5 linked regions of the Callithrix jacchus genome follow. The protein of the gene in region 1 interacts with the protein of each later gene in a biochemical or structural test. Links are inferred from orthologs where the notes say so. Each region holds a gene or a part of one and is shown in the gene's direction. Other genes may lie near its edges.

Evidence for each region.
Region 2: the proteins of GNAQ (region 1) and PLCB1 form a complex in vitro, tested with the Homo sapiens proteins (2 studies listed by BioGRID, with this or other methods). The link is inferred for Callithrix jacchus from reciprocal best matches to the Homo sapiens genes GNAQ and PLCB1.
Region 3: the proteins of GNAQ (region 1) and GRK2 form a complex in vitro, tested with the Homo sapiens proteins (3 studies listed by BioGRID). The link is inferred for Callithrix jacchus from reciprocal best matches to the Homo sapiens genes GNAQ and GRK2.
Region 4: the proteins of GNAQ (region 1) and RGS4 form a complex in vitro, tested with the Homo sapiens proteins (3 studies listed by BioGRID). The link is inferred for Callithrix jacchus from reciprocal best matches to the Homo sapiens genes GNAQ and RGS4.
Region 5: the proteins of GNAQ (region 1) and RIC8A form a complex in vitro, tested with the Homo sapiens proteins (2 studies listed by BioGRID). The link is inferred for Callithrix jacchus from reciprocal best matches to the Homo sapiens genes GNAQ and RIC8A.

What each region holds. Positions count from the first base shown.
Region 1 is NC_133502.1:104,907,474-104,914,402, forward strand, and holds the start of GNAQ (guanine nucleotide-binding protein G(q) subunit alpha), read left to right. Parts: upstream 1-3,234; 5' UTR 3,235-3,946; coding exon 3,947-4,082; intron 4,083-6,929.
Region 2 is NC_133506.1:16,074,352-16,079,450, forward strand, and holds part of PLCB1 (1-phosphatidylinositol 4,5-bisphosphate phosphodiesterase beta-1), read left to right. Parts: intron 1-2,708; coding exon 2,709-2,936; 3' UTR 2,937-5,099.
Region 3 is NC_133511.1:124,364,885-124,371,123, forward strand, and holds part of GRK2 (beta-adrenergic receptor kinase 1), read left to right. Parts: intron 1-69; coding exon 70-171; intron 172-277; coding exon 278-352; intron 353-489; coding exon 490-551; intron 552-1,344; coding exon 1,345-1,396; intron 1,397-1,697; coding exon 1,698-1,789; intron 1,790-2,067; coding exon 2,068-2,167; intron 2,168-2,250; coding exon 2,251-2,329; intron 2,330-2,422; coding exon 2,423-2,553; intron 2,554-2,859; coding exon 2,860-2,954; intron 2,955-3,024; coding exon 3,025-3,132; intron 3,133-3,342; coding exon 3,343-3,409; intron 3,410-4,039; coding exon 4,040-4,140; intron 4,141-4,611; coding exon 4,612-4,678; intron 4,679-4,757; coding exon 4,758-4,853; intron 4,854-5,108; coding exon 5,109-5,271; intron 5,272-5,727; coding exon 5,728-5,864; intron 5,865-5,951; coding exon 5,952-6,065; intron 6,066-6,165; coding exon 6,166-6,239. UniProt on the Homo sapiens protein: Specifically phosphorylates the agonist-occupied form of the beta-adrenergic and closely related receptors, probably inducing a desensitization of them. Key regulator of LPAR1 signaling.
Region 4 is NC_133519.1:38,566,628-38,573,613, reverse strand, and holds the start of RGS4 (regulator of G-protein signaling 4), read left to right. Parts: upstream 1-2,611; 5' UTR 2,612-2,906; coding exon 2,907-2,964; intron 2,965-3,228; coding exon 3,229-3,505; intron 3,506-6,346; coding exon 6,347-6,451; intron 6,452-6,741; coding exon 6,742-6,803; intron 6,804-6,986. UniProt on the Homo sapiens protein: Inhibits signal transduction by increasing the GTPase activity of G protein alpha subunits thereby driving them into their inactive GDP-bound form. Activity on G(z)-alpha is inhibited by phosphorylation of the G-protein.
Region 5 is NC_133511.1:131,720,280-131,725,257, reverse strand, and holds part of RIC8A (chaperone Ric-8A), read left to right. Parts: coding exon of another isoform or gene 1-7; coding exon 8-598; intron 599-1,652; coding exon 1,653-1,744; intron 1,745-2,315; coding exon 2,316-2,466; intron 2,467-3,477; coding exon 3,478-3,573; intron 3,574-3,676; coding exon 3,677-3,821; intron 3,822-3,891; coding exon 3,892-4,036; intron 4,037-4,341; coding exon 4,342-4,461; intron 4,462-4,544; exon of another isoform or gene 4,545-4,647; intron 4,648-4,977; coding exon of another isoform or gene 4,978-4,978.

The sequences.
Region 1 (6,929 bases):
TTTGTTGATGATGTTAGGTGGTACCATTCTTTTGTTTATTCATTATTTACTTGGTAGCTGTTCTAGGCTAGACCCTCTTTCTGGTGCCATGAGAAGTTATGAAAAACAAGGTCCCTGCTCTCAGGCATCTCCTAATTCTGAGGGGGAGGAGGGCAGAGAAAAAGAGAACACTAAAGAACGACAGTGGTATGGTGCATATGAAGCAGCCATGCTAGTGACTGTGAACAAGAGAGGTACTATATGTTGCCTGTGTCGGATGACCTCTATGGGCCTTTCCTTCCCCATGAGATCCTTTTAGAAGAGCACCACCTTTTCATTATTTGACTGTAGAACCAATCCTTAAGACTGATTTATGCCTTTTACTGTTTTTCTTTCCCAGTCCCCAAAGGACAGGGTGTAAGATTGTAGGGTTAGCTATCCATCTCAGGATACCATAGAAAAGGTGACAGTCTTCCTGTTTTTCTCTGAGGTTCAGAGTTCCTGAGGTACTGCAATTTGCTTTTCAGCTCATTAGTAATTGTCCTTGAATTCTCAAAAGGGTTTATCATCTTACTGTCTGTGTGGGGTGATTTGAAATTGCTGATTTACTTTAAGGTGATTGAAAACCTTTTCATTCTTTAACATGCATCTCAATGCCCCTTTTCCTGCCATATCTTTTCCTGTTCTTCCCTTCCTTTTTATACCTTTATATTGTTACTTCCACCCCAACTTTTATATACATTGATTTTAGTCTTCTATTATAGCTGTTTAGAACCTCAATATGTCATAAGATTATAAGCCTACTGAGGGTAAGGACTGTATTTTATTCATTTTAGTATCTCTCTCATCCTGCACCTTCACCTGTTACCTCCACATAGTAGGTAATGAATAATGTTTGTTGACTGAATGAACTGGGATTTTGTAACATGATCCCTGCGTAGTTACATGTTTGATTATGTGCTTGCAGAACATGGTCAACTGTCAGTAGTTTCTGCATGGGTTCTATTTGTTTGACTTAGTCTCTAGGAATATTTGCTTGGCAAATTCTCTCCAGATAATATGAAAAGGTTTTTGGATAGATCTGGGCTCAGACTTGGAATTTCTTTTCCTGTTTCCTTCTTGACACCCATATATGGCTTTATCACTGTAGAGTCTTGGTTTTTCTTACTTCCTGATTTCTCCCCAATACTCGAAACATTCTCCTATTGACTTGTATTCATTCAAGTAGCTAAGTGCCAGGGAGTGTTCCTGATGTTGGCAGGATAAATGGGGCAAAAAACAGACTCTGACTGTAAAGCCCACTGAAAACAGGTGAATTCATCAAATAATAGGTCAATTCAGTCAAAACATATTACCTGATAGCCGGATGGCCCATTTTAAAAGACATTTCAAAAGTCTCAGAGGATCCTTGGGTAGGAAACCAGAGACTTGAAGCTTCCTGTCATTTGGTTTTCTAGTGTTTTATGTCTCTCAAAGCTCACATACATACATATATGAGGAGGATGCAATTTTTTCTTCTGAAGCCACTTTCTATTTTTGCACACTGAATTTCAATCTTTAATTTCTTTAGTCACTTAATTTTAAATTTTAATTTCATAGCAAGTCTAGTGGCTTTTTGTAGGCATTCACATAAAAGGGTCAAGGTTTGCCCTCTCTGCTCTCCTGGCCAAGGTGAAATTTAATTATTTTCTAGGTTTTAAACAGAGAACCTAAAATATACATTTTATATCTCGACTTGCTTGATTTAAATCCTGGCTTAGATTGTGTGTGCGTGTGTGTGTAAGGGTGGAGTAATGGCAAATGAAGGAAAGAAGGACGTTAACACACCTGTTGTCTAAGAAGCCTATGTGAATTCTTGATCTGTAGCAAAAGCAAAGTCATGAACTGTACTTTACACTCCGGATCAGCAGGTTGCACTAGGGACACTGCAGAGAACACATGAAACGTGAAAAGGTGGTTTTCTTCATAAAAGCCCATTTTCTTTGAAGACCTCAGGTTCCTTTAAGGCAGGAAGTAACATGAGTTTCACCTCCTGTAGCTATTAAACCAAATAAAACCTGATTGAGCAAGATTATTTTCGTGTGCTATTTATCAGTAGACGATCACAATGAAATATGCATACGACAGTTAACTGCCTCAAATATGGCAAACCAAAATAAAAAAAATAGAATGCCATTTTGCTGAGGTCATCTTAGTTTCTATTCTATTTCATTCTTTCCATTTATTCCACATTATTTTACATTTTCCCGGAAGTCATCCATAATTCAGTGTAGAAGGGTAAATTCGATTACTTGGCAGCTAAACATGGTGTGCCCTGTCAGAAACAAGAAGACTTGTAAAACAAAATCAAAAACAACTTCCCAAAACGCCCCAATACAACAAAAAACCAACAACCGAAAAAACAAAGGCATGGAAAGCTGGAACCTATCTGGGGGCTTTTGGAAACTTGGGCAGCTTCCTTTCTCTGCTCAGGATTTAGATTTCTATCTCCCGTTACTTTGTGAACTGCTTCTCCTGTGAATTTCCCCCCCCCCGCTACGCCTCCGGACACCGGTGCCAGTTCCTTCCCTTCCTCAGTCGCCTCCCCACAGTAGAGAGGATCTTATTTTATAAGACTGCACCGGGGTCAGAGGTGATGTGCGAGAGTTTCTAACCGAATGGCGTTTTAGAAATAGGAACGGGAAACATAGAAGCGGCTGAGGAGCGTCCCCGCGGAGCAGACGGGCAGGGCCCTGGAGCGACGGACGCCAGCGCCGGCGCCGCGGGGAGCGCGTGCGGGACTCCGCGGGGCCGCCTACCGCGACTTCAGCAGGGGCCGCGGCCGCGCTCCCGGGCCGGTGGGCTGAGGCAGGCAGAGGCCGCCATATTCCCGCCTTACCACGCCCGGCCGGCCGGCAGCCGGAGGTAAGCGGCGGCTCTGACAAGCAGCGGCGGCCGCTGCCTCCGGCCGCGCGGCGGCGACCCGGCCCGGCCCCGGCTGGGGGCAGCCGTGACCGCTGCGCTCGCGGCCTCTGCCCAGGGTGCGAAAGCAGGAGGCACCAGCAGAGCCCGAGGGGGCCGGCCCAACCGGGTAGCCGCGCGGGCGAGGCGAGAGCCGCACTGGGAGGCGCGCCGCGGCGGCCGCGAGCCCAGGAAAGCGTTCCGGGAGGGGCCGGGCGGCACCGCCTCCCGGCTCCCCTCCTCCCGCGCCTGTCCCCTCCGCCTCCTCCCCCTCCTCCTTTCGCCGCCGCCTCTTCCCTCCCGGATCTGTGCTCCAGTTCAGAGAAAGAAGAAAATGTGTGTGTGTGGCGAGGGGGAGGGCGCGCACTGAGCAGCCGCTCCGCGCCTGGCAATCGGGGCAGGGGGCGGGCGTCTGGCGAAGGCGGAGGCGGAGGCGGGGGCGGAGGAGCGCGCGGCTGCCGGGCGGGCCGGGAACCGGGTCTGCGCGCGAGCCGGGCGGTGGGCGCGGACAGGGCCGAGGGCGCCCGGGAGCCGTGTCAGGCGGCGGCGAGGAGCGGGCGCGCCGGGCGCGGGAAGCCGTCGGCGGCCGCTCGCTGCGGGGACACCCCGGTGGATGAGCTCTCGCCGCCAGGCGCACGGCGTAGGGGAGCCTCGCAGGCGGCGGCGGCGGCGGCGCGGGGGGCGAGGCGGGACGCCCATTCTCGGGGAAGGAGGCGCGGGCGTCTGAGCGAGGCCGGGCGCGGCGGCCTTCCCTCACTCGCCCCCCGAGCCAGCGCCCGCCTCCCGCGCCCGCCTCGCTTCTCCAGTCGGCCCAGGCAGTTCGCTCCCGCCGCGCCCCCGGCCCACCTGGTGGCCCCGGCCCTGGCCGCGGCAGTCGCGGCGGTTCCGGGAGCTCGTACCGGACGCGCGCCCGGGCGGCGGGGACTCGGCGGCCACCGCTGCCTCGGGGGAGCGAGGGCGGGAGGGTGTGTGTGCGCGCTGTGAGCAGGGGGTGCCGGTGGGGCTGCAGCGGAGGCACTTTGGAAGAATGACTCTGGAGTCCATCATGGCGTGCTGCCTGAGTGAGGAGGCCAAGGAAGCCCGGAGGATCAACGATGAGATCGAGCGGCAGCTCCGCAGGGACAAACGGGACGCCCGCCGGGAGCTCAAGCTGCTGCTGCTCGGTGAGTACCGCCCGGGGCCGACCGCCGCGGGTCCTCCCGCCGGGCCTCTGCGAACCCCCGCCCACCACCCCCGGCCCCGCGGGGCAGCTGCCCTCGGCGTCCCCCGCCCCCCGGCGCCCGGGACTTGCCCCTACCCTCCCGGGCGCGCCCCCGGCCACTGCCTTCACCCGCGCGGGTGCGCGGGCGCGTACACACACGCACGCAGCAGAGGGGTCGGGCTGCCCTGCCCGGTGCCTCGGCTTGTTCCTTTTCGTATCCCTGAGGGCTGTGCCTTATCTGCTGTGCATCTGCTAAATGGCAGATCACTCTGGCCAGAGGCGCAGGGGTGGAAAGGTGGGCAGAGGGATTGAATTTCTAGTGCCGTGACCGCGGCTTCCCGTGGGTTGGTGGCGTGGGGAGCCGTGTGTGTGGCCCAGCGGGTGGCGAGCCGAGCCCGGGACACATTGGGGGATGGCCTGCGCCGGGGTGGCTGGTGTGCATCCAAGATCAGTGTCCTCTGGGGTCAGGAGGGAATGGGGGAACGGCGGGCAGACTCGCAACTGGATTCCCAGAGCAGTGATGACGAGGAAACCAAGTGGTTGGCCCTCCAAAGAAAGGGCCTGTGTATTGGGGGCGGGGCGGGGCGGGAGGGCCAGCCCAAATGTGTCACACAAGAGCTGTTCTCTAGCCACCAAACCTTCGAAAGGAGGGAGCCTAGAAGAGTTTCTTGGCCAGTGGATGGTGACAGGCGTGTTTCTCGTCTGCACCATTCCTTCTAGATAAAGATGAGGGATAGGGGAGCGTTGTACTGTGTGGTTGTTGACAGCGACCGGTATCTTTTGTTTAATGAGGCAACCCAGATGTAGGCCTGAATTCACAATAGTTACTGCTGAAAACCAATGTAGCCTCTCAATTACTCCCATGGCAACAAATAGAAGCCTTTTGTTTAAAACAGATAGCAGTTTAATATCTTTGGAATCTAGGCTAGAAGGAAAACGGTAAGCATACAGGAAAAATTTCCCTCTAGTCTTGAAAAAAAAAATCATTCTGCTTTAACACGAAGTTAGCAAGAAAATGCCATTTCTCAAATTGGAATTTATTGATTATTATCTCTGAGAGGATGTTCAGAATCAAGTGATCGAGGTTCACATACAAACCAGAGCGACAGAACCCTGAGCTATTGGGATAGGAAGAGCAAAGAGCTTTGCAGTAACAGACTTGAAAAATGACTGCCCTTGAGTTCTGGATATTTGCATGTATAATTGTATAATAAATATGTTTCTCAAACATTTCTGTAAGAAAAGAATATTGTGCTGTCAGTTGATGTTTGAGAAGCATGCATTTTCTTTCTTATCTTGAGCATTCCATTTGCTGGCTCAAGGAACCAATTGCCTTTGGAAATGAACTGCTTATGTACTGGACCATTTACAAGCAAGAACAAAATACACTGATCACACCAATAGTTACTAATGGTTAATTTACATGACATGCTTTCTTTATGTCTTCATTTTGAAACTCTAGATAAATGTGCACATGTTTACAAAAAACAGAAGGCAAAGCACTGTATGAAAGAGGTGGGCTTAGGGGAAGAGGAATACTGACGCTGGAAAGTAAAGATTTTTTTTTTTTTAATTCTCATTTTTGAGATACTTCTAATGACTGAAAACGGTCAGTTGAATGTTTTCTGAGTTCTCAAGATTGAGAAGAAAAGAGCGAAAAAGAGAAATACATAGAGTGTTTAAGTGCATGGTTAAGGTGAAAAGCACGGATTTTAGAGAGACTTATTTTAAGAATTTTTTTTTTCTTCTGTTGCCCTGTTGACAGTCTTTGATTCTGTTTAACTGTGAACTGGGCAGTTGAGGTCTCTCCAGCCAACCCAGTTTGCCTGAAAAGTGACAGCTCTGGGTTTCCCAGCAGTTAAGAGTTAAAGCCCAGGGGGGTTGTCAAGGGCCTAGGTTTGAATGTCTAAGGGAAATACACTTATATGGATGTTCAGTTACATACTGTGTATTTAAATAACACTGTGCTTTTAAAAATGAACACGGAGATAATTTTCTGAGGAAAAAAATGTAAACCAATTTTACTGCTAAAGTGGTGGTAGTGTGGAGAACTTTTTTTCTTATTAGCTGAATGTAATGCAAGAATTGCTGCTGCTTCGTGTTCCTGGTATGTTGCTTTTGCAACATAAATACTACAATACTTAGACTATTTGTATAGTAATATACACTAAATGTGGATTTGTGCGTGCGTGTATGTGTATGAGTGTGATTTTAGGAGTTTTGAATCCAGGGTGGTTGATTTCGATAAGGGGGAAGATATTAGGGAGGGATTTCATTTGAGGAATTCCTGATTTGCTGCTTTGATGAGTAGACTTAATGACCTGGTTCCTTCCATCATTTAAACAAAACCTATCCAGAGGAGGTTATAGGAAGCATCCATTCATAGTTTAAAGATCTAATATTTTTAACCAGTTTATGGAGGAATGACTGTGTATTGAAATGAAATTAAATCTAAAATTGTTTCCAAAGTAAATTTTACTTGAAGGTGTGACACCATTTTAATGGAAGAAAATTTTTTGACAGGGATAAAAGTGGGTGCCCTTGCATTTGCTCATATAATTATTTACTTAGGTATATTAATAATACGGAGACATTCAAAAAGGCAGGTAGTGACCTGAGTAGATGAAAGTATGGCAGTAAAATTTGGCCTATTTTGATTTATATCCGGCAACTATGCCAGTCTTCTGAATTTTCTCCATATGCTTATATATTTTTATTTTAACTTTAAAAATGCGAACCCTGAAATCTGCCACTATAAGAATATTATATTGAATTTTGTATTATTTTCTTGTTGTCTTTTAACTTTTTC
Region 2 (5,099 bases), on another chromosome or scaffold:
AAACAGATTAAAAACTACTCCACATTTTATATCTGGGGAGAATAGTTGACTTTCAATACTCAGCCTAAGCTATTTTTACCAGATACCATGTTTATTTTTATTTTTTATTTTCTATTTTTTCTTTTTCTTTGATATTTAAAGAAGTTTTATAGATTTATTTAAATCTCAACTTTTATTTTAGATGCAGAAGGTACATGTATGTACAGGCTTGTTACATGAGTATATTGCATGATGCTGAGGTGTGTGCTAAGGTTTGGGATACAAATGATCCTGTCACACAAATAATGAACATATTACCCAGCAGTTAGTTTTTCAAGCCTTGTCCCTGACTCCCTCTCCCCACTCTGTTAGTCCCTAGTGTCCATCGTTGTCGTACTTAGGTCCATGAATACCCAATGTTTAGCTCCCACTTATAAATAAGAATGTGTGGTATTTGGTTTTCTGTTCCTACATTAATTTGCTTAGGATAATGGCCTCCAGCATCCATGTTGCTGCAAAGGACATGATTTCATTCTTTTTTATGGCTGCCTAGTATTCCATGTTATATACATACCATATTTTCTTTATCCAGTCTACCACTGATGGGCACTTAGGTTGATTTCATGTCTTTGCTATTGTGAATAATATACAAGTGCATGTCACACACCTTTTGATGAAAAAAAAACATAAGTCATTTGAACTAGATCCATAATCCATTATCTGAGATTCTTGGGGCCCATTGTTCTTCAGAATTCTTACATTTTCTGATTTTAGAAAGGCAATGCGATGCATATGCCATGAGCACAATACTCCAGGGAGACCTGAGTCATCCTCAAAGTCAAGCAAATGAATATGTCTGCAGTTTAGTGCACAAATAGTCATATGATGGGGATATATGAAATTATACATATTTCATGTATCATTATCATCCAAACATCAGTTCGCGTCAATGAGTTTACACAGAGTTGCAAGAAAAAAGAAAACTTCTGGATTTCAAAACTTTGGGATAGATAAGGTTTTACTTAATATAAATTAAATAATTTAGTATTGTCAAAATTTATCTGGCACAGAAGCAAGAGTGAAAGGAGTTGAACTAAAGAGGAAGCTGCTGACACTGTCCGGAAAGAGGTTAAGACTCAGAAAGACAGATGCCCTGGGGACCGGCTTCACCCTGGCGTTCCAGAAACAGACCGAGCCCCAGAATTTGCCCTGAAAGATGCAGGATGCACAGCCAGGATCAAGACAAAAAGTAGAACTGGGGTCTGAGGGTAGAACCCAGACAGGGAGCTATCAGAGTGGCCAAAGCAGATCAACCACCTTGGCATCCCCCAAGAGCTGCTGAGAAATGCAGGAGCTCGGGCCCCAAACTGGCCTCCTGAGTCAGACGGAATCAAGGTCAAAATTCCAGGTGATTTGTGTGCACCTTAAAGTTTGAAAAGCAGGAGGAAAAAAAATCCAGATTTTAAGGCCGTATCTCAAAAGTTGCCTCAAAGCTAATAAGGGTGTGTGGGGGCAAGCATTTAGCCTTGCATGGGGTTTCAAGGATTATGCTCCCTGGGTACCAATTGATAAGCAGAGAGAATTTATTTAAAATTCAAGGTTTTTGCTTGGGCTCAGCACAGTGCAGCTCCCTAGCAGACAACTCTCCCTGCTGCCCACCTTCTCTCCCCATCTACCAGAGAATGGCAGGCTTTGTACTATTTTATAAATGAGACATCCATGTAAGTCTCCATTTAAAGAAAGAGTTCCAAGGACTTTAAACCGTCTGAAAATTCTCCAGGGCATAAAATAGACACATTAAAAGACAGTTTAAAGGGTAGCTAAAATAGTTTACAAGGCAAATAAAAATTAGAATGAAAAATGAATCAAAATAAAGAGGTGGTGAAAGAAGTCAAAATAAGACTGAAGCTGCACATCCCAAAGCCCACGCCACACTTGTCTGTCTCCTCTGCTTCTTAGTTAGCTTCCCCTAGCCAGGTTCATGGCTGACCTTGACACGCTCACCCATCAATGGTTCTCAACCCCTAAATGTAAAAATTTCAGATCATTTAATATTAGTTCTGACACCTTTTTCTCTTTTACTTTTTATCTTTTCTTTTCTTTTTTTTTTTTTTTTTTTTTAGACAGAGTCTCACTCTGTCACCCAGACTGAGGTGCAGTGGTGCGATCTCGGCTCACTGCAACCCCTGCCTCCTGGATTCAAGGGATTCTCCTGCCTCAGCCTCCTGAGCAGCTGGAATTGCAAATGCCTGCCACCATGCCCAGCTAATTTTTCCATTAAGTAGAGACGGGGTTTCACCATGTTGGCCAGGCTGGTCTCGAACTCCTGACCTCAAGCAATCCACCTGCCTCTCCCTTCCAAAGTGCTGGGATTACAGGTGTGAGCCACCATGCCCTGCCTCTGACACCGTTTTTCAAAAGACCCACGTGTGTGTGTGTGTGTGTGTGTGTGCATGTGCACGCGCACGTGGGCATTTGTAGATACATTCATCTTATTCCAAGTCTTTAGCCTTATTGTGCCACACATAACTTGAACTTGACTTTCAGCTACAGACAAATGATGTGTCCAGCTAAACTTTGTTACATCTCCTCTATAGATGACCAGTGAATGATATTTTAACTTCATGTATTCATCGCCCCCTTTGTACATCTCTTTCGGAGAGTTTCTATGGGGGTGGGTATAGAAACATAAACAACTTCAAGTCATCTCCTTACTTGATGTCTCCCAGCTGCAGGTGGAGCTGGAGCAAGAATACCAAGACAAATTCAAAAGACTGCCACTTGAGATTTTGGAATTCGTGCAGGAAGCCATGAAAGGGAAGATCAATGAAGACAGCAATCACGGTTCTGCCCCTCCCTCCCTGTCCTCAGACCCTGGAAAAGTGAACCACAAGACTCCCTCCAGTGAGGAGCTGGGAGGAGACATCCCAGGAAAAGAATTTGATACTCCTCTGTGAATGCTCCTGCCAGGCCTTCAGAAATTTGCATGGCCACTCCAGTGTCATCAGACTCTCTCTTATTACAAAAATCACTGCCCAGGACCATCTTCCCAAGAAGCATCCCTTAGCCTAAAATCCACACCAAAGGGAGAGTTCCAGAGGAATCCATTGCAGAAGTCCCATGCCCAGGCTCCATGTGTCACTTGGAAACCTCTGCAGGTCTACTAGTGAAGAATGCATGTATGTGAGATTTTTGTTTTCTTTCCGGTAGTAAATTCAAAGCAAGCAACTTGCAGGCTCCATGGAACTATTAATGAAGGACGGTGTCTTCTTTGAAGAAAATCGAGCTCATGTTTTTATTCAAAGCTCTGGTGTAAAGTATTTCAAAGTCATAGAAATAGTTTGAGAAATGCATAGCATTATTTAACACTATTGAACAGCTGGCTTTGAGCATTTTTTAAACTGCCCCTCAACTACCATTATCTTCAAGTCAACATGCATATTACATTATTTCATCTTTTGCTTTGCAAGCACTGGTGGCTTGCATTTTGCTAATTTATTTATCATAGAGCCATCAATGTATTTGTTGCTGACATGGTTTTATTAGATACTGTAATGATTCAAATAAGTTTGTTTTTTATTTGGAAAAAAAAATCACTTGATTGTATCCTTATCCAGTGAAGCCATCCCAAGACTTAGCAATATGGATTGTACATTTGGCTGCATGAGCAAGTGGGCCACACATTTCCAGCCAGTGTGCTGTCTGAATTGACTATTTGCACTCAAAGTCTGGGTATTCATTGGTTGTTAGCCTGAAATGATCAAATAACTACAAATGTTCTGTTGAATAAAAATAGTTGAGCTGATATATGTTAACCAGATATTCAATCAGAGTGAACAGGTTCCAGTGGTTATTTTGCTGTTCGACATTTCTTATGGTTCATTTATTTTTAACATAGAGAGGAAGATTGAATATTTATCTAGAGACTACAAAGACCCACATGTAAATGATAGGTATTATCTCCATGTATATATGTACCCACTTAGTCTTGTAAGTACATATACACATACACACACATGAGTGTAGATATGTGCTTATTAATTGACAATGACCCAGATCTCTTCCACAAGACTTAAAACCAAATTCAGGGATAAATGGATAGAGAAGAAAAGGGCCAAACATCTAGATTACATGGATGTTAAGTTATATGGAGATGCTAAGAAATAGTTGATGAAGCCATTGATGCAAACTGATATAGATTTAGAACTTAGAATATGAATTCAATTTATATTTTGCAAGATCAAAAATTAGGTGTTAAGTATCAGATTTTAAGCTTGTTTTAATGGTCAAAAAATTAGTACAGAAATATGGACATTGATTAGAATCTTCCATAATTTTTAAGACTGACACATTTCTATTTTATTCTAACATTAAAAACTTTCATTATATATTTACTTAAGTACATTTAACTCACTTACCTGTCTCTCTGTAAGTTCCTATTTTAGGTGGCATAAGAGAAACAAGTTATGTCAAAAGGCAAAACTGATCAAAAGCATAATTGAAAGTTCTGAGAAAAGAAAGAATAATAATATATAGAAAAATGCAACTTAGAGAGTAACACAATGAACATGGAATTCGAAGCCCAGAAGCCAGAGGCTCACAGCTTTATTTTGCTTTAAAGTAAACCTGTCTGATTGTAGCTTAATGAAATACCTTAAAATGCAAAAACCAGTTGTGTCCTGAAAACTGTTTCAAGAATTTAATATTTTTATGAAAATTATTTTGTTTAACTTTAAGCAATAACTAGAGATCACAATTAAATTTTAATCAAAATGAAGGCTTAGTTCAAACATAAGAAAACAGTGTTTAATTTAAAAAAAAATCTAGTAAGATATAAGTGGAAAATCGCATCCTTTTTGGAAATGATGATATTTTGATCTGAAGGGTTTGGGGTGTTAATTAGACACTTAATAAAACTTAACTTCCACTGAAAAAGAAGTCTTTTGTAAATCGTTCTACTTTTGCACTTTGAAAGAAAGTCATTAATCATAAAGAAGCAAGAATGGTCAAAATCGAATGCTGCATTTTTATAAACAAAATTACAGACTGTCTGAACTTGCAGAAGAATGAACTAACAATAGCATTCATAACCAAACACAATGGTGATTATCACAGAACAT
Region 3 (6,239 bases), on another chromosome or scaffold:
AGTCACCTGGTGTAGGTGCCCCTGTGACCTGCTGGGCTATAGATGACCTGCGGGAATCCCGTCCTCCAGATCAAGAAGTACGAGAAGCTGGAGACGGAGGAGGAGCGTGTGGCCCGCAGCCGGGAGATCTTCGACTTGTACATCATGAAGGAGCTGCTGGCCTGCTCGCACGTGAGTGTCCTGGACTGGCCCTGCGTGCTGGACCAGAGTCACCTGTGTGTTGGGAGGGGAAGAGAGCACCCTGCGAAGAATTCATGGCCACTTCTGTCTTCCTCAGCCCTTCTCAAAGAGTGCCACTGAGCATGTCCAGGGCCACCTGGGAAAGAAGCAGGTGCCTCCGGATCTCTTCCAGGTATGTGCCTCCCAGTCCCCACCCAGGCGAGGTCACCTTGGACAGCCCGGGTCAAAGAGCCTAGTTAGCTGGGGGTGGGGCCTGGGCAGCCATGGTCTCTAGGGGCTCAGTCACAAACTTCCAGTTTCCTCCCTTAGCCATACATCGAAGAGATTTGTCAGAACCTCCGAGGGGACGTGTTCCAGAAATTCATCGAGAGGTGAGCGCGGGGTGGTGTGGAAAAGGAAGGGCGAGGAAGGGGTTGCTTATGTGGCTGGTGTGGAGGGTAGAAGCCAGCCTTCATTAGGCCCTGAGCTGGCAGGTGTCTGGTCCGTCAGTGGCCCCCTTGCTAGGACTCCTGAGAGGTCAGACAGGCTGCAGGTCATCCTCTTTCACTCTGCCCTCCTCAGTACCAGGCAGCTCACAGCCCGTCTCAGGCTGTTCTCTGGGAGCTAGGAGAGCCACACCACCTGTGGCTCTTCCTCTCCCGAGGGCTATATAGCACTTTGCTGGCCCACCTGGGCTGAGAAGCATCAGGGTCAGTAGGGGTGGGTGCAGGAGAGCACATGGCCCCCATGGCCCTCACAGCCAGAGTTGACACAGTGGGTGAGAATTGTAGGCAGATTTTGGCTAGCTTTAGGGAGTGGCTTTTTTAGTGTCACTGCTGCCCAGCCATGGAGTGAGCTCTGTGTCACTAGAGGTATGCTAGCAGGGATGGGAGCAGGAAGTCTGGGTTAGACTGGAAGACCTCCTCTCTATGCTGATCTGATTCCAGCAGGAAACCATAGCCAGGTGGCCGAGGCCCGTGCCGGGCACCCAAGCAGCACTGGCTGGCACTGTGGGTGGGCAGGCCCCCAACATTTCATTCCTGGAAGAGGACATTAAAGCTCCTGATGTTTCCACATCTACCCTGATGGGACCCCGGGGAATGGCCGATAGGTGGGGCAGGCTCACGACAGCATCGTCCTTCCCACACCCTGAGTGGCCCCTGAGTCCAGGTTCTTCTCTTCCAGCGATAAGTTCACACGGTTTTGCCAGTGGAAGAATGTGGAGCTCAACATCCACGTGAGTGGGGCTGGGTGGGGCGTGGAAAGCTGCGCACCCTGCTACTCCCCTCCCGGGAGCCGGGCCTGGGACTTGGCTGAGAGTGGGGAGATCAGGGGGTGTCAGCCCCTAGTGCCATGGCTATGGGGGTCAGGGCTGGGATGCCGGCATGGGGAGGCTGGAGCAGGTAAGTGTGTGGCAAGGACAGCCAGGACACAGGTATAGGGACCTGGCATGGGGCCAGCCCCTGCTGCCCAGGTGCCTCTGCCCCACGGCTGGGCCCAGGCAGCCTGTGGTGATCGCAGCTGTCGCTGCCCTGCAGCTGACCATGAATGACTTCAGCGTGCATCGCATCATTGGGCGTGGGGGCTTCGGCGAGGTCTATGGGTGCCGGAAGGCCGACACAGGCAAGATGTAAGCACCCTGCTTGGCGTAGGGGGATGCTGGGAGAGCAGGGATCCTGGGAGGCCCTGACGACTGGGTTCCGCACAGGGCCACGTGCTGCCCCACCCACCCCTGTCTTGCCTTGCTATTACCCTCCTGCAGGCTTCTCTGGCCCCAGCCCTCCCTATCTCTGATTTGTGTCACAGGCTGGTCCTGGGTCTAGTCTTCCCCTCAAGCACCCCCAGAGGCAGTCCTGGGCCCCTGTGTCAAGGGTGGGTGTTGACTGCCGCCCTCTGTCTGCCTCGTAGGTATGCCATGAAGTGCCTGGACAAAAAGCGCATCAAGATGAAGCAGGGGGAGACCCTGGCCCTGAACGAGCGTATCATGCTCTCACTCGTCAGCACTGGGGTGAGCTGGGCAGGCTGGGCCGCTGCTGAGGCTCTGGAACCCCCATTGCCCCTGCTGACCTCTCCCCTCCCCTCCCCTCCTAGGACTGCCCATTCATCGTCTGCATGTCGTATGCATTCCACACGCCAGACAAGCTCAGCTTCATCCTGGACCTCATGAACGGTGAGTGCTGGCCGAGCCCCAGGGTGGGCTGGACCTAAGCGCAGGAGGCTGGGGCAAGATGCTGAGTGCCGCCTATGGGGCTGCCTCCCTCAGGTGGGGACCTGCACTACCACCTGTCCCAGCACGGGGTCTTCTCCGAGGCTGACATGCGCTTCTATGCGGCTGAGATCATCCTGGGCCTGGAACACATGCACAGCCGCTTCGTGGTCTACCGAGACCTGAAGGTACATGCCCCTGCTGGCCCCAGGCCGCGCCTCTGTGGCTGTTCTCTCCCTCTCGGCATCCTGGCCACCAGGCCTAGAGGAGTGGGGCTCCTGGGACACGACTGCCCTGTGTCTTCCCATCTCCGCCCCTGTCCTTCCCACTCTCTGGGTCCAGGTTATGACTGGGGACAGGAGAGAGGACCCCATCTTTGCCGTTTCCTTGGGGACCCATTGTCGTCTCCAGTGAAGCAGTGACCCAGCTGGCATCTTGCCTGGCTGGGCCCCATCCCGAGCCGTCCCGGGCAGCTCACTGGGCTTCCTTCACAGCCGGCCAACATCCTTCTGGACGAGCATGGCCACGTGCGGATCTCAGACCTGGGCCTGGCCTGCGACTTCTCTAAGAAGAAGCCCCATGCCAGCGTGTGAGTGCCCTGCCACCCTCCCCCTCCTCACCCCTCAATACTCCTGCTCACGGCCCCCTTGCTCCCACAGGGGCACCCACGGGTACATGGCTCCGGAGGTCCTGCAGAAGGGCGTGGCCTACGACAGCAGCGCTGACTGGTTCTCTCTGGGCTGCATGCTCTTCAAGTTGCTGCGGGGGTGAGTGGCCTGTCCCAGCTGGGCAGTTGGGTCGGGTGGAGAGAAGTTCCTCCCCAGTCCAGGTGGGAAGCCAGAGGAAGGGAGCCCATAGCTAGCTGCCTTGGTATTAGGGGTGGCACCATCCCTGACTGCCCACAGCTCATTCACGCTGCCTGCCTCCATTTCCCCATTCCTTTCCTTTGACTTTGGTTTTTGGCCCCTCTTGCCCAGACATAGCCCCTTCCGGCAGCACAAGACCAAAGACAAGCATGAGATCGACCGCATGACGCTGACAATGGTAGGTGCGGGTGTCAGCGTGGGCCTTGGGGGGCGGGGGTCTCCTGTGGGTGATGCTGGCAACAGTGGGTACAGATCTCAGCTCGGGGCCACAGTGTGGCGGGAGATCCTATGGGGCTGGGGTCTCCTGTGGGTGATGTTGACAGTGGTGGGTGCAGGTCTCAGTTCGGGGCCCCGGAGGGCTGGGGGCTCCTGTGGGTGACACAGTGGTGGATGTGAGTCTCAGTGCCATGGGGGGGATGGGAGCTCCTAACACTAATCATGGTGGATGTGGGTCTCAGCGTGGGGCTGCTGGGGGGGCCAGGGGCTCCTGTGGGTGACGTTGACAGTGGTGGGTGCAGGTCTCGGTGCAGGCCACAGTGGGGCTGGGGGCTCTCGTGAGTGTCAGAGTTGTGACTGTTGGTTCCGACCAGCAGGTAGAGATCTCGGCCACTGCCCCTACTCTGGCCTCTGAGACAGACCTCCTGCCCCATAGGCTCTTGCCCTCGCTATGCTGTTGGAGCATGACTGCCGGGCAAGCTAGGAAGCTGCGCCCTGTCTCTCTGTGGGCCTGGGCCCCTCTCTCCCCTGAGCTGGGATGGGGTCAAGTGCTCTTCCTCAGCCCCTGCCTATGTCCCACTCCTCTCCAAAGGCCGTGGAGCTGCCCGACTCCTTCTCCCCTGAACTCCGCTCCCTGCTGGAGGGGTTGCTGCAGAGGGATGTCAACCGGAGACTGGGCTGCCTGGGCCGAGGGTGAGTGCCCTGGCACCTTAGGCATGCTGCTGGCTGTGACCCCCTGAGGATAAGGGCTATGTCCAGTCACCTGGAGCCCCGTCCAAGGTCCCAGCCTCCTTGGAGGAGCTCACAAGTTGGGGCATGGCCAGCTCTGTCCAATGTTCTCAGGGTGCAGGGGCTGCCCTGGAGGTTGCAGCTGCTGGTAACTGGCTTCCAGAGGGACTCTTGTCACAGACGACGATGATGGCAGCTTTTTGTGTTTATTGTGAACATTTATTAAGCATTAGGCACAGGGTTGTAAAATGTACCAGTGCTTAAACTCAGAAGCCTGTGACGTAGGAACTGCTGTTCTCCCATTTGAGAGATGAGGAAGCAGCTCAGGCTTAAGGAACTTACCCAACTTCACACAGCCAGAAAGTGGCTCAACCAGGAGTGAAGCCCAGGGCTGGGGGGAGGTGCTGAGCCCGGATGACCGGCCCCTCCCCACAGGGCTCAGGAGGTGAAGGAGAGCCCCTTCTTCCGCTCCCTGGACTGGCAGATGGTCTTCTTGCAGAAGGTAACAGTCTGTAGCAGGGGCTTGGGGGCTCCGCACCCCCACCCCTAAACTAATGCCCGTGACCCCTGTTCTGCTGCAGTACCCTCCCCCGCTGATCCCCCCACGAGGGGAGGTGAATGCAGCCGATGCCTTCGACATTGGCTCCTTCGATGAGGAGGACACAAAAGGAATCAAGGTACTGGGCCTTGCCTGGCCTCTTGCACCTGGGCTCTGATCGTGGCCTGGGGGTGGATCCCTGTCCTTCTTGCCACCTGTGATTCCCTGTGCCAGGCCTGCCAGCTCGTGAGCCTCAGCTCCTCCACAGCCAACTTCCCTGGGGGTAGCACTTGCCCTGATCATCCCTACCCAGGGCCTTGGGTCTGGGCAGCCTGTGACTGAGGGTATTCCGGCATCTGTCTATCCACGTGCCTCTGTCCTGTCCACCTGGTAGTTACTGGACAGTGACCAGGAGCTCTACCGCAACTTCCCCCTCACCATCTCGGAGCGGTGGCAGCAAGAGGTGGCAGAGACCGTCTTTGACACCATCAATGCTGAGACAGACCGGCTGGAGGCCCGCAAGAAAGCCAAGAACAAGCAGCTGGGCCACGAGGAAGGTGAGGATCACCCGCTGCTGTGGCACCAGGCCCCCACCTGCTTAGGAGTGAGCAGTTGGCTTGGGTTTAAGGAACTCACCCTGGATCACAGCCAGAAAGTGGCCACTTTGGGATGGAAACCCAGGCCAGAGCCAGGCATGATGGTTCACGCCTATAATCCCAGCACTTCGGGAGGCTGAGGACCGTAGATCACTTGAGGTCAGGAGTTCGAGACCAGCCTGGCCAACATGATGAAACCCTGTGTCTACCAAAAAATTACCCGGGCACGGTGGCACGCGCCTGTACTCCCAGCTACCCGGGAGGCTGAGGCGGGAGGATCGCTTGAACCCGGGAGGTGGAGGTTGCAGTGAGCCAAGATTGCGCCGCTGCCTGGGCGACAGAGTGGAGACCCTGTCTCAAAACAACAAAAAGCAACCTAGGCTGGGCCGGCTGAGCCTCCTCTGTCTCTCACCTCAGACTACGCCCTGGGCAAGGACTGCATCATGCATGGCTACATGTCCAAGATGGGCAATCCCTTCCTGACCCAGTGGCAGCGGCGATACTTCTACCTGTTCCCCAACCGCCTTGAGTGGCGGGGTGAGGGCGAGGCCCCGGTAAGGAGCCCGTGCGGGGTCGGGAGCCGGGCTTCCGGGTGGCTGGTGGGCCGGCCCTTACCCGCACCACCATCCCTGGCCCTGCAGCAGAGCCTGCTGACCATGGAGGAGATCCAGTCGGTGGAGGAGACGCAGATCAAGGAGCGCAAGTGCCTGCTCCTCAAGATCCGCGGTGGGAAGCAGTTCGTGTTGCAGTGCGATGTGAGTGGGGTCTGGGACAGGGGTGGGGTGGCCGAGGGGCCGGGCCAGGCTGGGCAGGCTCGGGAGATCCCCAGCTGACAGCTGGGCTTGGTGTGTGCAGAGCGACCCTGAGCTGGTGCAGTGGAAGAAGGAGCTGCGCGACGCCTACCGCGAGGCCCAGCAGCTGGTACAGCG
Region 4 (6,986 bases), on another chromosome or scaffold:
TGGTGAAGTCAGGGCTTTTAGGGTATCCATCACCTGAATGAGGTACATTGTACCCCTTAAGTAATTTCTCACTATCCACTGATTTCTTGCCCTCTCATCCTTCTGAGCCTCCATTGTCTATCATTCCACACTCTACATCCATGTGTACACATTATTTAGGTCCTACTTATATGTGACGACATGCAGTATTTGTCCTTCTGTGTCTGACTTGTTTCACTGGAGATAATGGCCCTAGTTCCATCTAGGTTGCTGCAAAAGGCACGATTTCATTTCTTTTTATGGCTGTGTTCTTTCTCAATTTAGGTAAAGTGCACTCGCACTCGCTCTTACTTCTGTTTGGAATACTCATTCCTGGGCTTCTTGCATTGCTTTCTGCTTCTCACTCATCGAATCTTATTTTAGATGCCCCCTCTTTAAAGAGGCCTTTCCTGACCACCTTGGCTAAATTAGTCCTTCACCATCTGATCGCCCTCTAGCACATCACCTGCCCATTTTATTCATGGTACAGGTCAAAATCTGGAATCATCTGATTTGTTCATTTTCTGACTCCTCCTACTGGGATGAAAACTCTACTAGGGCGGAGATTTTGCCTGCTTGTTCACCATGCTAAATACAGTTCTTCAAACAGTACCTGATACAGAGTAGGTGTCAAAAGATATTTCGTAAACCAATGAATTTTATTTATTCATTCTTAAACAAATGAATAAATAACAAGTAGATCTTTTGAGAGTAAAGCCCTTCTATACTACCAGAGTCACCCAGGATTGACAAATCATAGAATAACAGAATTCGTTGCTTTGTGCATATCAGAGAAAGAAGGTGGAAGGTTGTCAAGGTATCATGATGTACCAGCCCTCGCCTCCTCAAACACAATCTGCAAGTCCCACAGTGAAAGAATAAGTTAACTCATGTGAAGCGTTTTACAAACACTTTTTTTAAAGTTTTAAACTCCTAAGAAAGCAAGGTTTAATAGCCAAAGAAGTGAGTAAATATGAAATGCCTGAACAGAGTAATGAGTTAAGCAGGTTAGAAGACCTGGTTCTAATAGGGAACTAGCACAGTGAGGTATGCTGCAACTCCCGCTTTCACGGAGCAAGAACAGATTGGGCAAGTGAGCAGTCCTTGAATAAAAGATGTAAGATTAACATTGGATTCTATTCTCTACTGTGTATAATAGAATGAGGAAAAATTATTTTTTATAGTTTGGAAATATCTCTATTTATACAGTTTATCTCATTTGATCAGACTGTTGAGTTACAGGATAGCACAGCGGACAACTCACATAACTGAGTATAGAGACACCTAGATCTGGACCCAGCTCCGTTAGTAAGAAGCTGTAACCTCAGCAAGTCACTTTCTCTTTCTGGGTCTCTATTTCCTTTTTGGTGAAATGAGGATGTTAGGCTAGATTGCCTTTAAAGTCCCATCTATTGCAGTGATTTATATTTAACTCGTGACAAATCAGGCTTCTCTTATTCTAAGTCCAAGACATAAAGTTCTCATTGTAGAATTTCAGACATCAGTAAATCTTCTTGGGTCCTCGCTTATGTTCCCAAAATCAATCTATTTGAGTGATCACTCTCTTAGGTGCGTAGGTAAACAAAGAAGGTCATGGTTCTTCTTTGAGTGACCTTCTTTCCCTTTTAATTAATCTGTCCTCTTTGATGTCAGTTCTGACTGGTTCTTCTCCCTGGTTCGTCTTCCTTGGTCTGATGACCTCCCTGATTTCACATTGTACTGCAGTTCCTTCCATACCACCATCAGGGATGGCTGTCAACTTTCATTTGTTCTGTTATAATTCAAGGAAAAGTTGCCCAGTAGCTAATCTGATAAAACGTCTTTCTATCTTTATGGGCAGCTAGAGACTTTTTCCTATAATTTAAATGCATCTTCTGTGGATTATGGTCCCTCCACCATTTTATATTTGTCTGCTGTCTTCTTGCTCTGCTAGTCATGGAAGGAGGTGGTACTGGGGGCAGCGTAGGATGTTCAAGGGCATGTACTAGGTAGGGCCACGTATGGGCATTGCTTTGTGCCATTCTTTCCATATTTTTGGTATTTTGCATTTCACTGGAACCCAACTATTTTCACCTCTTCCACCTAAACCATTTGATGCCTCTGTTTCTTATAAATAAAGAACAGCTCATGGTAGCCTATGATTAGGAACCTATCTGCTTTCAAAATGAAAGCTGTTCTGGTCAGACTTAGCAATTCATTCCCCCCTTCCACGTATAGCTTTCCTCCATGAAAAAGATCCCTCTGTAACTCTGGTGTAGGTATTTGATATCTGGCCATAAGATGTGAAATGCCTGAATGTTTTTGTCCACGCAGTCGTTTCAGTCCATGATATTGTACGTAAAAGATACTAATTGTCCAGGTGTTCAGAAGCACCCATAGGACTTGATATGATTAGTTTGAAGGCCGGTGATATATAAGGCAAACTACATATTTTTCTGCCTGCTCTCTCTCTCTCTCTGTACATCCCTCTTTATCTTTTGAGATAGCAGTTTGGAGACTTAGAGTTACATAAGACATAAACCCATTTGCCAATAAGAATTGGTGTGTGTATTTGCTCATCTACTCCCTCCTTTGGTCCTCGAGCTGCTGTTTTAGACTTTTATAGGATGCAGGCATGTAAAGGAGAAACTGTCAGTGCTAGGCTGAATTCTGTTGTTACCAAGATTTCTAGAAAAGTATTCCGCAGTCGGGTTGATTACAGATAGCGCGAATCTATTTTTCCTAGGCTAGTTTCTCTTTGCTGCCGGGCTTATAACTGTCTGTCATCCAGCTATTGCTCTCCACCTTCCTGTTTGCATAACAACCAAGGCAACTTCTGCAAATCGCTGCATGGAGACGATGATCCTACCAACTCCCTTTTGGAAACCGTGAAGATCAGACCTTGGACCATGTATAATATGATGCTTCTAATCCAAAAGAGGAAGGACATTGGGAGTCAACTCCTAAGTAAGCTCCAGAATTTTTGCTGGTACTTTTCCTTCAGGAGGTAACTTTCCTTGATATTGTTTTTTTTTTTAATAGATATATGAATAAATACTATATTTTGCAGCATTGTACGCTTTTTTTCCTTTTCTAGAAATTCTAAACCTTTGACATTCATAGAGACGTTGAGTACATTTTTTTCTGTCTGCCTACTTTGCAGAAGGATTTTCTCTGCTCGTTCGCTTAGCATTGCTGATGCGTCAATCTTTTCTTCCTCGTCTCTTTCAGGGGCTGGAGAGGCAGAGGGAGACAGAGGAGCTGGTACTGCAGAGCTGTCGTCTGATTGGCTGGATGGTCGTAGCTGGGCTATAAAAGAGACCCCTACAGGCTTGGGAGAAAGACGCTCAGAGAATTCTGACAGTATCTTTGCCGGAGAAGAGGCAAAGTACGCTCAAAGCCGAAGCCACAGCTCCTCCTGCCGCATTTCTTTTCTGCTTGCAAATCCCAAGCTGTTAAATAAGATGTGCAAAGGGCTTGCAGGTCTGCCGGCTTCTTGCTTGAGGAGGTAAGATTGCTTTCAGCCATTAACCATGCTGAACTTTTGGATAGACTTTCTCAGTCATTTACATGTTGTACTTACTAACCTAGTTCTGTGCAGTTAGAAACAATGTGGTCAGGAGAGCAATGACTTCCTAACTTTCTTCCTCCAAGACAAGCTAGATACTGTGACTTAAGACATGTGCTCCCCAAATTTCAGTCCTTACGTGTTGTTTTATGACCTCAATTTTGGTAACCGTTCTGTTCTTTAAGCCAGGTCTAAGCAAGCTAGTTTTAATTAAGAAGTGAGATAAGGTTTGAGGCTATGGATAGTGGTCTGTAATATCTCCATCTGTGATTCCTACTGTTATTTGAGCATCCCCGGAGTATATAGAAGCCTGGCTCTGGGCTTTCTGATTGTACGCTACATCTTGTTTGAGGGAAAGTACCCCATAATGAGGTTTGGCTGCATTATCGGAAAGGCATTATGCTTTCTGTGTGGTGCTCAGTATCTTTCACTCTCTATGTTCTTATAATCAAATGTTACAATGAGATCTTCCGTATCTCTCTGCTCTATCTCTAGTTCTTAAAGTATCTTAGATGAGTGTGGTTGAGAAGTACTGATCATTACAAATCAGTTAACAGTTTTGTAGAAGATCTCACCTTAAAGACATTGTTTTGTTAGTATGCTCTCTTAATGTTTTTAAAACACCTTACAGGCATACAGTTATGCATTTGTTTATGCTTTTAAAAGCATAAACAAATGCATTCAGAGAATGATCGTATATTAGCCACTTGAAAATGAAACACAAAATGAGTGCATATTCCATTACTTAATCTTGCAGATAAAGGTAAAAAGTCATTCTAGAGGTATATACCTGCTTTCTTATCACCCTGCAAATAGAAATTACCACAACTTTTATTTTGGAAATAATTTCAGAAAACATAATGTTTTATGTACTATTCAAACATTTACTTTTCAAATATTGTGTCATTCATGAGTGTGGAAGTGTCAATGGCTTCTTTAAAATGAAGCAGGAGGGTCTGGCAGAGAGTATGAAATAAGTGCCTCTGACCTTCATGATTAATTTTCTGAATGGAGGGGGGCAAATCACTTCAAGCTTCAGTTAACTTACATATAAAATGAACCATTCAAAAATACAAGAGGGTCAGGAGAAGTTATGCTCTGGTAAATATTTTGCAAGGCAGATAAAGAAAGGTAGTACTAGAGCTCTGCCCTTGAAGAGTTAAGCAGCTAATCTAAGGAGGTAAACCCTGTGTTAGCCAGATGAGCTGCTCTTCCCTTTCCTCACCAGTAAACTCCAAATGGTCTAGTGCAACATCTTTACCACCAGTGCCTGAGGCTCCAGAGGAGCCATCTCCTACTCAAGGTCACATAGATGGTGGGTGAGTTAGGGCCAAATCTAGATTTCCTGGCTCCAATAACTTCTGAAGTCATTTTGGTTTTTATTTTTATGGTTTTATTATAAGAATACTTGCTAAGCACACTTAGCCCCTGCATTGATCAATAGCTCTCAGATCTCAGGTGGATCCAGCACATGGAAATATGAATTCATTTCTATTTGGACTTCATGATATACTTATATTATCACCTCGGAATTACCCTAACATTCAGGATTATATCTCACTATCATCAAAAAGGATAGTATATCCCCTGACCAGTCATCAGTCAGGGAGGCAGAGGAGGGAAAGTAGTCTTGGGAGGAAGAGAAAATACTATTTAAGAGGCAGTCAGCGAACATAATGGAATTCAGAATTTCTGGGAAAACCTACACACATAAGCCACTAATGTATTAGTAGTCATCCTAAATGTCTTTATATCTCTGTGGCTTTATTTTTCTTGCTCCAAATAGGAACATTTAGTTATTCATTTTTTAAAGAATGGTATTTCTCTTTTAAAATTATTTCTTGGCTTTTAAAATAAAAGAGATGCAAGCAAGAGGATAGTTAAGAAAAAGTAAGAGAGTTGAGTTTAAGGCTTATTAAAGGACCCCGTTTTTCTAGTTAGTCCGGAGCCCTGTTGTGCCCTGGCTACCTATTAAAACGGCCGCAATAAACTAGAAGCTCAGTGATGTCTCTAGCCTCCTTCTCCCTATAGTTTTTAAGCCCCAAATGCCCTTTATAGTGTATATGTCCTTTAACGTAGCTATTAAATAGGAAAGCAGCAGCAGCAGCAGGTACTGTCTACAAAGAAGCCCCAAGGAGCTCAGGTTTCAGCTTGGGCATTTGCTTTCACCGTCCATGTTCCATTTCCCTCTGCTGGAGCTGCGCACCTCAGTGTATTCTCCCTGCATACCCCACAGCAGGGACTGCTTGGCCCACCATGTACAGGGCTGGAACGGAATAGACTTTTACTTTCCTGAGGTGCTTCTACAGTTCCCTCTCTGCCAGCAGGGAGACAGATGGAAATGGCAATCACCTGCCAGAAGGTGGCGTGCAGCAAGGATGTGCATCTTTCGCAGCTGCTGCCTTCTGATTCCTAAAAATTACTCAGAGATCACTCATGTTTTCAGTGTGGTTCTATTGAAGATACCAAAGGTATTCTGTTGGTCAAAATGACCGGCATACAAAGGCTTCTGAGATTTCTGAGGTAAACTGAAGGGTCAGAATTCAAGTTGTGGATGAAGGAACTAGTGTTATGACTGTGCCTCAAGGTTTTGTAGCAAGTCATAGGCAACCAAAAGCGGAATCTTGTTTTCCTCAGAGTTCATGCCACCTCCAACTCCTATTCCCTAAATAAATGCCTCTGAGCCATAGACTAGTAATGGACTCTTGAAGCTCTACCATTAGGTATCTCTTAATGAAAGTTGGTTATCATAATTGATTCTTTTTTTCCTCTTCTGTGCAGTGCAAAAGATATGAAACATCGGCTAGGTTTCCTGCTGCAGAAATCTGATTCCTGTGAACATAATTCTTCTCACTGCAAGAAGGACAAAGTGGTTATTTGCCAGAGGTAAGAGAAAAGGCCTGGTGAAGATCTATCGAGTATTAACTATCTGATGATAGATGTGTTGTGCTCCTACTTAAGCTGGATTTGAACCAAGAGAGCCCCCCTTTTCATGGAGAGTATAACTACATTCGAAATTTCTATACATTTAGTGAAAAACTGCCCTCATCAACAATATATTTTGTAATAATGATGGAAAATAAAATCTCTGCTTTACATTCAGGATCTTAGATTTCTTGCCCCAATTTTGTATCATAGTATTCCAATTATTTTCTGTTTCTCTCTAATTTTTCTAGGGTGAGCCAAGAGGAAATCAAGAAATGGGCTGAATCACTGGAAAACCTGATTAGTCATGAATGTAAGTTTGACAGCAACCTGGATGAGGTACTCTAGATCAGACAAGTTATATCGTGCTGCTCTGTTAGTAACTGCAGCAAGGCCTGGCTTCTTTCTGATATTCAGACTCAGGAGACCCTTTTGGTCTTATATTCAGTCTGTTTAAAATTTAAAATGCCCTAGAGCTTTGCGATATACAATGAAA
Region 5 (4,978 bases), on another chromosome or scaffold:
CCCACAGAGACTGGCGGAGCTGCTGGTCTCCGTCCTGGAACAGGGCTTGCCACCCTCCCACCGTGTCACCTGGCTGCAGAGTGTCCGAATCCTGTCCCGGGACCGCAACTGCTGGGACCCGTTCACCAGCCGCCAGAGCATGCAGGCACTGGCCACCCATGCTGGCATCTCTGTCTCCGAGGGCTCCGTCCCTGAGTCCGCAGACATGGATGTTGTTCTGGAGTCCCTCAAGTGCCTGTGCAACCTCGTGCTCAGCAGCCCTGTGGCACAGACGCTGGCAGCGGAGGCCCGCCTAGTGGTGAAGCTCACAGAGCGCGTGGGGCTGTACCGAGTGAGGACCTTCCCGCACGACGTCCAGTTCTTTGACTTGCGGCTCCTCTTCCTGCTGACTGCACTCCGCACCGATGTGCGCCAGCAGCTGTTTCAGGAACTGAAAGGAGTGAGTCTGCTGACGGACACGCTGGAACTGACGCTGGGGGTGACTCCCGAAGGGAACCCACCCAAGCTCCTTCCTTCCCAAGAGACTGAGCGGGCCATGGAGATCCTCAAAGTGCTCTTCAACATCACCCTCGACTCCATCAAGGGGGAGGTGGACGAGGTGAGCACTGATGGCAACCCGTGGCTGGGTCTCAGCTCAGCTCCAGCATTTTCTGGACCTGCTTGCTTCCCACTGGGTACCTTCGGGTTTCTGAGTGTCAGACATGGAGAGGATAGGATCTCTCAGCCTATTGGGACAAGGCCAAGGAGATGCCAGTTTCGGGCTGGAACCTCAGGGATCCCCTTCTGGCTCTTGCTGCCTGGCAGGAGGGCTGTGTGGTGTCAGGGGAGACTGTAAGAGATCCTTCACCATGAGGCCATGAGTGGGGCTGACACACTGTGTGACCTCCCCAGGGAATGTGTTTCTACTCAGGGAGGTGATTTTTTTTTTTTTTTTCTGAGACGGAGTTTCGCTCTTATTACCCAGGCTGGAGTGCAATGGTGCGATCTCAACTCACCACAACCTCCACCTCCTGGGTTCAGGCAATTCTCCTGCCTCAGCCTCCCGAGTAGCTGGGATTACAGGCACGCACCACCATGCCCAGCTAATTTTTTTTGTGTGTTTAGTAGAGACGGGGTTTCACCATGTTGACCAGGATGGTCTCGATCTCTTGACCTCGTGATCCACCCGTCTCGGCCTCCCAAAGTGCTGGGATTACAGGCACGCGCCACCATGCCCAGCTAATGTTTTTTGTGTGTTTAGTAGAGACGGGGTTTCACCATGTTGACCAGAATGGTCTCGATCTCTTGACCTCGTGATCCACCCGTCTCGGCCTCCCAAAGTGCTGGGATTACAGGCACGCACCACCATGCCCAGCTAATGTTTTTTGTGTTTTTAGTAGAGACAGGGTTTCACCATGTTGACCGGGATGGTCTCGATCTCTTGACCCCGTGATCCACCCGCCTCGGCGGAGGTGCTTTTAAGAAGACAGAGGTGGTCATCTTTTGCCCCCAGCACTACCAAAGTCACTTAGGAGACCCCAGGGGGTCAGGCATGGAGTATGGGAGCTGCACAGTCAGTGCCACATATTCTTGGAGTGCAAGACAGTAGAGCCTCAGCAGGCAGCAGTGGGATGAGTGGGGCTCCTCACAGGAACCCTTCTTTCTTTGGTCAGGAAGATGCTGCCCTTTACCAGCACCTGGGGGTCCTTCTCCGGCACTGTGTGATGATTACTACTGCTGGAGACCGCACAGAGGAGTTCCACGGGTGAGGACATGGCTTTTTCTATGGCCACATTGTCTAGCTAGTGGTCCTCAACCCTGTGGACCAGAACCGCCTGAGAGCCCAGGCCCCACCCTGGGGGGGGTCTGACTTTGTCTGAGTGAATGGTACTGGACATCAGTGTTTCCGGAGAATACTGAGTGCTTCCAATAGGTGGCCAGGACAGGAGCCATGAATCTGGGGACAGGAATGTGCCAACTGGACCTTGGGTAGTGGCAACAGATACATGCTGTTTACTGGGCATTTTGGTCCCTTGTCCCCCTTCTTGGGCCACCTGCCCCTAGGCTGATCTGGGTTTCCAGAGATGGTGGCACTTTAGCCCAGACAGGGTGGGGCAGTTAGGGTGTCTGAGTGCCCCCACCTCCCCAGGGGACCCCACTGTACAGCTGAGTGGCAGTGCCTCTACGATCGGTCTCTGCCTTTGTTTTTGGTCCCTAGTGTTGCTCCTTTAGGTCCTCAGACGCCAGCTCGTGTAATGTGTGGTTCAGTGGGGGCACAAAGATTGCACCTGTGCCAAGGGATTAGCTCTATTGAGACCCCCGTCTCCTGTCCCCAGCCATGCAGTGAACCTCTTGGGGAACTTGCCCCTCAAGTGTCTGGATGTTCTCCTCACCCTGGAGCCACACGAAGACTCCGTGGAGTTCATGGGAGTGAATATGGATGTGATTCGTGCCCTCCTCATCTTCCTAGAGAAGCGTTTGCACCAGGTAGGCTGGGGATGGCTGTGCAGGCTCCCCCAGTGTCTCTGGCGCTGGCTGTCCTGCACAGCTGTGGTCAGTGCTTCCACACTGGTAAGTGGAGATCATCTTGGTGATGTGATATGGGCAGTTCTTTTGGCTGTTCTGAGGTTCAGCCTGGCAAGAAGCCAGACCCTTCCTCCATGAGAAGCATGTGGACACCCTCCACACACTTAAAGGTTTCACTTCTGCTTAAATATTTGTGGATTTTTATTGAGTGGTCCTGAGAAGCTCCCCCAGTCCCTGCTTTTAACTCTTAGACACAGGCAGCCCTTGATTATAAGCATGGCTGTCCCTCAGCACCCTGAAGAGACCCACAGGAACCTCTGATCAAAGGTTCCCTCTGATTCCTGTGACTGCACTGTGGGGCATCTGGACAGCTGGGCTCTAACCATTCTCCAGGCTCTTGCAGAAAGCAGGTTCAGTAGACGTCTTGGGAATCTACCTGCCTAAGCAGAGGACACACATGGTGCATGTGAGCCAGTCAGGATAGGGACCTGGCATTGGGCACACAGCTGGGGTCAGCTGTCCCCGTCGCTGCCACTGCTGATACTAGGGTCCAGGCACATTATGCTAGGAGGGACAGGAACTCCCTGCTTTCTGTCCATGAAGTACACCGAGCAGGGATTCAGTTCTCGTTTCTTTTTGCCACCGTCATCTGAGGTCAATGTGTGTGCCAAAGCTTGAATTGCTTTGTGTTTTCTTCCCATCCCTGGCTTATAATTGAAGCAGTTATTTGAGCCAAGTCACAAAACTTCTGAGTTGGGCTCTATCCCCGCCCCTTTCAAAACTGACACAGATACCTAGCACCCACTCTTGGCCCTCCACTGACTAACTGCAGAGGGGTCTCTTCCCAAACCCCTGCCGCTAGGACCAGCTGGTGTGTCTTGGGGGCGGGGGCAGGGGGTTTTGGGGATGTAACTCTGCGCCAGTCTCAAATTAGGTAGGGCCATAAGCCTGATGACAGAGGCTTCTCTACAGACACACAGGCTGAAAGAGAGCGTAGCTCCTGTGCTAAACGTGCTGACTGAGTGTGCCCGGATGCACCGCCCAGCCAGGAAGTTCCTGAAGGCCCAGGTATGAGGCTCAGAAGCTGGCGCTCCTGGGAGATGTGGGTTGGGCCCTGATCACAGACTCTTGGCTGCTCCAAGCCGAAGCTGAGGGACGGCCGCCTCCCCAGGTGCTGCCCCCTCTGCGGGATGTGAGGACACGGCCCGAGGTTGGGGAGATGCTTCGGAACAAGCTTGTCCGCCTCATGACGCACCTGGACACAGACGTGAAGAGGGTGGCTGCCGAGTTCTTGTTTGTCCTGTGCTCTGAGAGTGGTGAGTTATGGAGGCCCAGGTCCCACCCCACCTAAGCCAGGCTTGCACTGACCTCTGCCTTGCTCCTCAGTGCCCCGATTTATCAAGTACACGGGCTATGGGAATGCTGCTGGCCTTCTGGCTGCCAGGGGCCTCATGGCGGGAGGCCGGCCCGAGGGCCAGTACTCAGAAGATGAGGACACAGACACAGATGAGTACAAGGAAGCAAAGGCCAGGTATGTGCCCCAACACACCCTTGGGGTTCCCACTCAGAGCCACACCCATATGGACCCATGTAGGGTAGGTGGGACAGGATGACACATGGGCAGGACCTTCCAGAATCAGGCTCCTGTTCCTAAGTGCTATCTGGGATACCAGAAGGTGGCAGGTGGCAGGAGCTGGTTAACTGCTGCTCCTGGAGGGAGGCCTCTTCCTGCAGTTGCCTTGCCCTGCCCCCTCTCACCCCATGGGAAAATGTGTCTTGCCTCCTGTCCTGGAGAGTCACTAATGCATTCCTTACACTCTACCCCATGGGAAGCAGCATAAACCCGGTGACCGGGAGGGTGGAGGAGAAGCCGCCTAACCCTATGGAGGGCATGACGGAGGAACAGAAGGAGCATGAGGCCATGAAGCTGGTGACCATGTTTGACAGGCTCTCCAGGTGTGTAGCATGAGGAGGAGGTGGGGGGAGCCTGCAGCTGGGAGAAGGGAGAGCTGACCCACATCCTGTCTTGTGATCCCCAGGAGGTAGGGTCAGAGGAGAGCTTAGGATCCTGGCAAGGCCGCATTACTTACGTTTGACATCACTTGCCCTGGAGGAAATCCCCCAGGGGATGGGCATATTGAGGTCAGTATTGTGCCCATTTTACAGATGATAACTGAGGCCCAGAGAACTTAAGAGACTGTCTAATGTCCCTGGACTTATTGGAGATGGTCCAATGTCCAAATTCAGAGACTGTTTAAGGCCAATTTAGATGTCTCAATTAAGAATCTACTTAAAGCCATGAGGTAGCAGTTAGGATTTGGGCCCAATTAACAGAAAGTCCAATCAGGCTTCCCCAGTAAATGGGAGCAGCCTACCTACTTGGTGGAGAGGAAGGTAGCAGCCAGGGGTCAGCAGGACCCTTGCCTGGCCAGCGGGGCCCCTTCCCCAGCCCCACTGCACCTTTCCCCACAGG